Schizosaccharomyces pombe: one gene and its partner. Each later gene encodes a partner of the first gene's protein in a complex. Each region holds a gene or a part of one and is shown in the gene's direction. Other genes may lie near its edges.

Evidence for each region. The genes of interacting proteins can lie anywhere in the genome.
Region 2: moe1 (region 1) and tif303 share a complex: the UniProt entries of both Schizosaccharomyces pombe proteins name them as parts of the eukaryotic translation initiation factor 3 (eIF-3) complex.

Annotation. Positions count from the first base shown.
Region 1 is NC_003424.3:4,549,788-4,554,253, forward strand, and holds moe1 (translation initiation factor eIF3d), read left to right. Parts: upstream 1-2,052; 5' UTR 2,053-2,063; coding exon 2,064-3,767; 3' UTR 3,768-3,954; downstream 3,955-4,466. Other genes in the region: gmh5 (alpha-1,2-galactosyltransferase), read left to right, coding at 139-1,182; Fe-sulfur cluster assembly ATPase Nbp35, read left to right, coding at 4,328-4,466. UniProt on the Schizosaccharomyces pombe protein: mRNA cap-binding component of the eukaryotic translation initiation factor 3 (eIF-3) complex, which is involved in protein synthesis of a specialized repertoire of mRNAs and, together with other initiation factors, stimulates binding of mRNA and methionyl-tRNAi to the 40S ribosome.
Region 2 is NC_003424.3:2,579,600-2,584,570, reverse strand, and holds tif303 (translation initiation factor eIF3c), read left to right. Parts: upstream 1-1,581; 5' UTR 1,582-1,594; coding exon 1,595-4,351; 3' UTR 4,352-4,471; downstream 4,472-4,971. Other genes in the region: tom6 (uncharacterized protein), read right to left, coding at 524-630, 669-708. UniProt on the Schizosaccharomyces pombe protein: Component of the eukaryotic translation initiation factor 3 (eIF-3) complex, which is involved in protein synthesis of a specialized repertoire of mRNAs and, together with other initiation factors, stimulates binding of mRNA and methionyl-tRNAi to the 40S ribosome.

The DNA of each region.
Region 1 (4,466 bases):
TCGCCTTTGCCAAACAGCCTAGTTCTGTGTGAAACCTCAAACGGCATTGCCGTAGTCATATTATCATTCGAAAATATATAATTTAAAGGTTAATAAGAAGAATTAACGTAAACGTCGAGTCTTATATTATATTAAAAAATGTGGAACCCCAAAAAGAAGTCAGAAGCATTAGCTAAGTTTAAATCCTTTCCTTACCCTAAGCCAGGCACTTCCAATGTACTTGATTCCAAAGAAGGTGATACTAGAAGGAAGTATTTTACCAAGACGCATCTACATAGGTTATTCGTCTTTGTGGTACTGTTGCTCTGCTCAGGCTACTTTTTAAAGCATACACTCTTGACGCGTCCCAAAGAGAGTAATGTTGTTATGATATTTGTCAATAACATCGGAGGTGGCGTTTTAGATGTAAAAAGTCCCAGACAATGGGAGCTGGAGAAGATTTCAACGGAGAACAAGAAGAAATACGCTGAAAGGCACGGATATCATTTCTTTGTGAAGAGCACAGGCTTAAAGAGACGATATGCTCATGAATGGCGTGAATCTTGGGAAAAAGCAGATTATATCATGGAAGCCATGAAGAAATACCCTCATGCTGAATGGTTTTGGTGGGTCGATTTAACAACATTCATCATGGAACCTCAATATTCTCTTGAAAAGCTTATTATTAACAGACTTGACCATATTGCGACCAGGAATATTACTGATAGCATGGAGTTCAATCCAAAAAATTTCCACGAAATTCCATTTGTTGACTATAGTGAAGATATCAACTTTATTTTAGGGCAAGATTGCAACGGTTTCAGTTTGGGTTCTTTTCTGGTTCGTCGAAGTGATTGGACTAGCAGATTGATGGACTTCCTTTGGGATCCAGTAGTCTATGGGCAAAAGCACATGGATTGGCCTCACGATGAGCAAAATGCAATTGAGTACTTCTACGAGAATAATGCTTGGCTTCGAAGCGGCATGGGATTCGTTCCTCTTCGCCTTTTCAATTCATATCCTCCAGGTGCTTGTGCTGGTGAAGGTGAAAATCCTCGTTTCTTTTATAACCAAAAAGAAGGAGACTTCTTGGTAAACTTGGCAGGCTGTAATTATGGAAGGGACTGCCTAGATGAAATAAATCATTATAAGGGATTAGCGCAAAGAAAACGGGGTTGGAGGAAGTTAGTTCCGTTTCTTTAATAGAGACCTCACATATTTCCATCATTATTATTAATATTTTAAATTCATACTTTATCATTCTTTTTCCTTGCGTGTGCTAGGCTGTCAATGCGATCCTTTATCATGTGATGCACTAAACTCTCTCCTTTGCTACTTAGCAGCTTTTGCGGTCATTTAACACTGCTTAATATTTGGTGCTTTCCGTTTTTATACATTAATTTCTTCGCAAACAATTGTTTTAATAGGATTAGATGTGTATATTTTTTATGCGACATGTGATGACAGAAAAGAGAGAATGTCTGAGAACCTTGGCGTTCATTTTTTTCTTTCTTCAAAAGACAGCGTTGACGAAATTAAAATTTTCTAAAACATGCTTTTGTCAGAAACATTTAAGCCTTGAGACAATGACTATAAAGGCAAAGTCTGATGTCGTAATCAGTTTTAAATTATAGCATAACATATCTTTTATTTCAATATCAATTTCTCCCATTTTTTAATTTAATAACATTTAGTGCTGATATAACCTGCTAGTATGATAAAGTAATTCTACCTACTATAGTTTTATAATGTAGTGAGTGGTTGAGATTTCCACATATCGTCTTCTGAATAGGCATGTGGGTTCACAAATAAAGAAGTAGTTTGATAAATACAGTAACATATACTAATTGTTAATAGATGTAGTTTTTCTACAAATATAGCACCTTGATTGCAAAAGGAAATGTATAACATTTAACTTTTTCACGAACCAAAAAGTATATATATTACATTTAAGTACTTTTGTATTACAAATAAAGCTTTAGAACTTCAAATATTACCATTGTTGGCTTTGGTGTTTTAGCGTCTCCCAGTTCGTTTGCACACTATACTGGCGTCCACTTCGAAGAAAACTTCACCACTCCCAAATGGCAACTGGATTTAAATTGCCTGAGTTAGCACCCGTAAAATCAGCATGGGGACCTCCTGAAACGGAACAGATAGGAGGTGATATTCCTTATGCTCCTTTTAGTAAAGGTGACCGTCTTGGAAAAATTGCAGATTGGTCTGTTGATCAACCTAAAGATGGACGTGAACAACGTGGACGTCAAGGAGCATTTGCTGGTCGTTTCCGTGACCAATATCAAACTTATGGTTATGGCGCGTCGTCCATTTTTGGTTATCAGCATTCGGAGGACGAATCCAGTTTCTCGGTGATCGATCGTGGTTCTGTCAATCGTACACGCACTTCCGCTCGCAACGGCGGCACTTTATTGAAGGTTCGCGGTAGAGGACAAAACGTTCAACGAGGTGGTCGTGGCGGTCGCTACGGTTCTTCTGGTGGAAGAGGTGCAGGTGATACAGTGGTTTCTAGATCCTCAGGCGCTGGAGGAGCAAGAGGTCGTCGGTTTGGTTGGAAGGATTATGATAAACATCAACGTCTTCGCAACGCCAGTGTTACTGTTGGTGACGACTGGCAGCTTCTTGACGAGGTTGAGTTCAGCCATTTATCTAAGCTCAATTTAGCTGCTGCTGCTCCTGTTACTGTGGATTCATATGGTTATATTTATCCTTATGACAAATCTTTTGACAAGATTCATGTTAAATCAGAAAAACCATTACAAGCCTTGGACCGTGTTCATTACAACCCTACCACTACTGAAGACCCCGTTATCCAAAAACTCGCTCTTAATAGTGATGCTAACATTTTCATTACGGATTCCATTTTGTCTTTATTGATGTGTTCAACTCGCTCAGTGTATCCCTGGGATATTGTAATTACTCACCAAAGTGGAAAGCTATTCTTTGACAAACGTGAAGGCGGACCTTTTGATTATCTCACTGTCAATGAAAACGCATACGATTCTCCCATGGACGCTGACAACCGCGAAGGTGTTAATTCTCCTGGAGCCCTTTCTGTCGAAGCTACGTACATTAACCAAAACTTCTGCGTCCAAGCTTTACGTGAAACCGAAGAAGAGAAATATAAATTACCTCATCCCAATCCCTTCTATAATTCTAAGGAAGAAAGTGAGCCATTGGCTGCTCACGGTTATATCTATCGGGATGTTGATCTTTCTCTCGAGACAGACGAAAAGCCTGTTAAGCTAATGGTTCGTACCGAAGTTGACGGTTATGTTAAAAATCCTGCGAACGATGTTCAATACATTTCTATCAAGGCTCTTAATGAGTACGATCCCAAATTTACAAATGTTACTGGTTCTGTGGATTGGCGTTCCAAGCTCGAAAGTCAAAGAGGTGCTGTGTTTGCCACTGAAATGAAGAACAATAGTTGCAAGCTTGCCCGTTGGACTGTCGAAGCTTTATTGGCTGGTGTTGATAGCATGAAGGTTGGTTTTGTCAGTCGTTCAAATGCCCGTGACGCTCAGCACCACGGCATTTTGGGTGTTGTAGCTTATAAGCCTGCTGATTTGGCTTCCCAAATGAACTTAAGTTTGTCTAATGGTTGGGGTATTGTTCGTACTATTGCAGATGTCTGTTTGAAAATGCCTGATGGAAAATATGTCCTTGTAAAGGATCCCAACAGACCTATTTTACGCTTGTACTCTGTTCCACCCAACACTTTTGAAGAAGCTGCTGGACCCTCCCTTGAAGCTTCTTCTACTGCTTAAAAAGGACGGATGTAGAAAGTTCATTAAAAAGGTTACATGTATAATACTCAATTACATGTGCAAATCTAAGATCTTTAAATCGGTTTTATATTTTCGGTTTCTTTATTTTTTAATCTTATGAACTGTTTCTCGGTAAATTAGAAGCTAAGTGTAAAGTAATGTATTTGTTGGAATAGTAAAAATGAAGCGAAGGAAAATTAAGTGCCGTTTAATTCATTTGGAAATATCTGATTTTCGATGCTTCCAACGTGATTTTTTTCATGAACATTGCTTTTAACACACTTTAGGGTATTACGGTAAAAAAATTAGAACTCGATTAGTAGAAAACCGATATAGCTCATTGCCACTAGCCAAGAGATCGTAAAACGGTTTCAAGCTTAGTCAGAATATTGTGGTAAAACAAGAGGTAAAGCTTTTAGCAAAAATTCGTTTGAAGAGAATTTACACCGGATTACACTTATAATTTACCATACGTGGTTTACAAAAATAGCTACTAAAAGTTCACTAAGCACGTGAAATAAAGACTTTTACTAAGCATTTGCTTTAATATTGGCTTTTCTATGCAAATCCAAGAAACTGTTCCTTTAGATGCACCAGAGCATTGCCCCGGACCGTCATCTGAAAATGCAGGAACTGCATCAGCATGTGAAGGATGCCCTAATCAACAAATTTGCGCTTCAGCACCTCGTGGAGAAGATC
Region 2 (4,971 bases), 2.0 Mb from region 1:
CACAACCATGTAACCGGTTGGATATTAAAAGGAGGAAAAACGTTTCTTGTTTGGCATCTATCTGTAAATGAAGGAGTCGTTGTTAAAACATTCTCCACGCCGACTACATTCGTACATAAAAATTTTCGCATAAACGACAAACGAAATGGTTCCTAGTCCAATGTTCACACAAAAATCTGTAGTGAATGGACGAATATTGGTTATTGACTTCAAACATCTAAGGAAACATAAATAGACGCAAGATATCAGAATCGAACTAGCTTATATGTAAAAATGTTCCTACCAACTAATGCTCCTACGTACTTCGCATGACACTAGATAACATAAATATTTCAAATTTTAGATCGCTAACAAAAATTACAAAGCACAATGATATTCATGAAAGATATATGTTGTTTAGCTTTGAACCTTTATTGAAACTGGGAGTTCATTTTATTTATGAAACAACCATACAACGTTATGAAGTAATATTTTTCTGAATCCAAAGCTGAAGACGTTTAGTCCGTGAAATTCAAACATCCATTTACAATTGTGGTACCAAAAAGTTTCCCAGTCTGGATTTCAAGATGGCTACAGAAACTGCAAATACGCCAAGACTCACGAAAATGGAAGAGTTTTCCTTATTGACGACTAAAAGATGTTAAATTAATAGTTTTACAGGGACATACCCTTTTTGAAAATATCTTTTTGAGCAGAAATGCGATCCATTTTTGACTAAGTGGTTGAAGGAACGTGGCTAAATACCGACTTGTAACGTAATTTAACATGACTGTGATCGCTGCCATAAACAGTGATCAGGTAAAATGTATGGCTTCAATAACCCTAATTGATAACCCTAAGAGCTAGCTGTATGGATTTTGTTTTGCAGTAGAGGAAACATTCTATACTGCAATAGTTTTTTAAGACAAAACGCTTTATATTTAGTTTACTTGGTCTTACGAAATAATCAAGAGTAGCGCTGCGGAAACAAATTTTTTCCTTTAAAATTTTCCATAATCATTATCTTTTTTAGTATTTTTTCATTTTTTTTTCGGGGGAGGGGTTAGAATAATTTAATTCATTTTCTTAACAAATGTACATCTCAAGAGCATCAATATTTAGACAATTAAAACTTTCAATAAATAAACGATTATTTTTTTCGGATTATTAATTGCTAAGCAGATAATTGCTTGCGACAAGGAAGCAAAGTGAGTATACACTTGGTTAGATGGAAAATATAATCACTTCCTCATAATTAAATTGTTCAGCGTATTTCATTCATCAAAAGTAATTCTATAAACAACCTGACGCTGATTATGTACAGTTTTTGTCCCGCAACTGCGTTAATGATTTCTGAGTGTATTTGTGATACGAAATTGCTTATAAAGAATCATGACATTCTATCAAGTCAAAATCGATAAACCCCATGCTTCTTAGTTTTCTAAACTTTCATTGCCGACAGTTTTGGATAAATTTATTAAATAACAAATTACGTTAATCCACTTTAACGGACACAAAATATTATTAACGATAACATACCTCTTTCAAAAAGGTGGAAGGGGGTCCTCACCCTTCCTTTGACTGCTGCACGAAAAAAAACTTGCCAACCACCAACATGTCGAGATTCTTCAAGGGAGGCTCTAGCGACAGCGATGCAGAATCCGTTGACTCCTCTGAAGAAAACCGTTTAACCTCTTCAAGGTTGAAGAAACAAGATGACTCTTCATCTGAAGAAGAATCAAGTGAAGAGGAAAGCGCATCCAGTTCGGAGTCCGAATCATCTGAAGAAGAGTCTGAAAGCGAAGAGTCAGAAGTAGAGGTTCCCAAGAAAAAGGCCGTGGCTGCTTCCGAAGACTCTGAATCTGACTCTGAAAGCTCAGAAGAGGAAGAAGAGACTGAATCCGAAGAGGATAGCGAAGTTTCTGATGAATCTGAGTCCGAGTCTGAGTCCGAGTCTGAGTCTGAGGAGGAATCTGAATCTGAAGAGGAATCTGATGAATCTGAACGTTCTGGCCCTTCTAGTTTCTTAAAGAAACCCGAAAAAGAAGAGGCCAAACCCGCTGGTCTTAAGTTTCTCCGTGGTGAAAGCAGCGAGGAAAGTAGTGATGAGGAAGAGGGTCGTCGTGTTGTTAAAAGTGCTAAAGATAAACGCTATGAAGAGTTTATTAGCTGCATGGAAACTATTAAAAACGCTATGAGTTCAAACAACTGGATTGTTGTTTCTAATGAATTTGATCATTTGAACAAAGTATCTCAAAAATGCAAAGAGGCCGGCAGAAATCCTCCTCCGTACATCGAATTCTTGTCTGCTCTTGATCAAAAACTCGAGTCCGCTGATAAGGCCTTTATCAAAAGTTTGGATGCTGCTAACGGCCGTGCGTTCAACGCTTTAAAACAGCGTGTTCGTAAAAACAACCGTCAGTTTCAAAGTGATATTGATAGATACCGTAAGGATCCTGAAGGTTTCATGAAGCCAGCAGAATTAAACGAAATTCCCAAGCCTGCCGGTAAGGCTGGGCAAGATGAAGTTATTGTTGATGGTGTAGCTACTCGTGGTATAGTTGCACCTACTGAGGGCTTAGGAAAACCAGAAGAAATTACACCTGCAGATATTTTCAAGTATCTCAGAGCTATTTTCGAAGCTCGCGGTAAGAAAAGCACTGACCGTTCTGAACAAATTCGTTTACTAGAAAAACTCTCGACTATAGCCGTAACTGATTATCAACGTCTTCGCGTTAAAGTTGCCCTATTGGCGGTTAGATTCGATATAAACACTGGCTCTGGACAATACATGCCTATTGATCAATGGAATGCCGCTCTTACTGAGTTACACAGTATTCTTGACATCTTTGATGCAAACCCCAAAATTGTTATTGTTGAACAGGTAGAAGATGAAAATGAAGAAGAGGAGGAAGCGATAGCTGCGGCGGAAAATAATAATGGAGTCATACAAGTTCAAGGTAGTGTAGTCTCTTTCTTAGAACGATTGGATGATGAATTTACTCGTTCTCTTCAAATGATTGATCCTCATACTCCTGAATATATTGACCGTCTGAAGGATGAAACGTCACTTTATACCCTTCTTGTCAGAAGCCAAGGTTACCTTGAGCGAATTGGGGTGGTTGAAAATACTGCTCGATTGATCATGCGCCGTCTTGATCGCGTCTATTACAAGCCTGAACAAGTAATTCGCGCTAATGAGGAGGTTGCTTGGCGTTCTTTCCCTCCTACTTTTGATCTTACAATTACTCCTCGTGCCACGACTACGACTCCTGATATTTTAATCCATTCCCTATGTGTCTATCTTTATAATAATGGTGTCAGTTTACTTCGTACCCGTGCTATGCTGTGTCATATTTATCATGAAGCATTGCAAAATCGTTTTTACAAGGCTCGTGATATGTTACTTATGTCGCATTTACAAGATAGCGTGCATGCTGCCGACATTGCTACTCAAATTTTACACAATCGCACTATGGTTCAAATTGGTTTGTGTGCTTTCCGCAACGGTATGGTTCAAGAAACACAGTATGCTCTTCAAGACATCTCTACTACTGGTCGTGTAAAGGAACTCCTTGGACAAGGCATACAAGCACCAAAGTTTGGACAATTTACACCTGATCAGGATCGTTTGGATAAGCAGTTGGTTTTACCTTTCCATATGCACATAAATCTAGAACTGCTTGAATGTGTTTACTTGACTTGTTCTATGTTGATGGAGATTCCCGCAATGGCAGCTGCTAGCTCTACTGCTTCAGATTCTAGAAAGCGTGTAATCAGCCGACCCTTCCGTCGTATGCTTGAATACATTGATCGTCAGCTTTTCGTTGGTCCTCCTGAAAATACCCGCGAGTATATAATGCAAGCTTCGAAAGCATTGGCAGATGGTGAATGGCGTCGTTGTGAAGAATTTATTCATGCTATTAAGATTTGGAGCTTAATGCCTGATGCTGACAAAATTAAGCAAATGCTTAGTGAGAAGATTCGGGAAGAGGGACTACGTACATACTTATTAGCATATGCTGCTTTTTACGATTCTGTTTCTCTTGAATTTTTGGCTACGACATTTGATCTTCCTGTTCAGCGTGTTACTGTTATTGTTTCTCGGTTATTATCTAAACGTGAGATCCATGCTGCTCTTGATCAAGTTCACGGTGCCATCATTTTTGAACGTGTTGAGATTAACAAGCTGGAAAGCTTGACTGTTTCTCTTAGCGAGAAAACTGCACAATTGAATGAGGCAAATGAAAAGCTATATGAGCAGAAGACCCAACACACTAATCCTCAGGAGAACAGACGTCGTGATAAGGGTGGCTCGGTTAAAAGACGCAATGAACGCACCGAAAATCGGAATCGTTCAGACATGAATTAAAGTTGTTGTGCATCGGTGAAAAATAGGGCGATCTAATTTCAATAAAATGAATGACTATTTGTCTTTGAAGAAAGTATTTAACTATCAGGTGGTTTCCATAGATCAATAGACATCTGAGTTACTTCATAGTGGTTTTGTTACAAACGTTAATCGGAAATAATGTAGTTTACCGTTTGGTAATTATCTTCAATTGTAAAGATACTTTGCTTCGAAAGTCTGAATCTGTTGACCATTATACACGTTTACAGTAAGCTATTTCTGCAAGCTTTGTTCTTCAGTTTCATATGGTCGCCTTTTTTCCATCGACTGAAAACAGACATGATGTGTGTAATCGAATTTTTGGTCGCTAGTACGAGCTCAATCTATCGGTGTATGGTTTGAAGTTGTTTTCTTTAAAAAATCTATTACTGAACGAAGTATCTCTAATTGTGTTGTTGAACCTCTAAACAAGAGTTCTGAAATTCTATTGAATACTTCTGAAGTCGTATTAAGCATAACAATCCTTACACAATACATTCACACGATCTTGAATGGTAAACCTCTAACGAAGTCAACTGCGATAAGTTTCATATTATTTCTAAAAATGAGGGAAACTTTATAAGAATTTTTTTATCAATGTT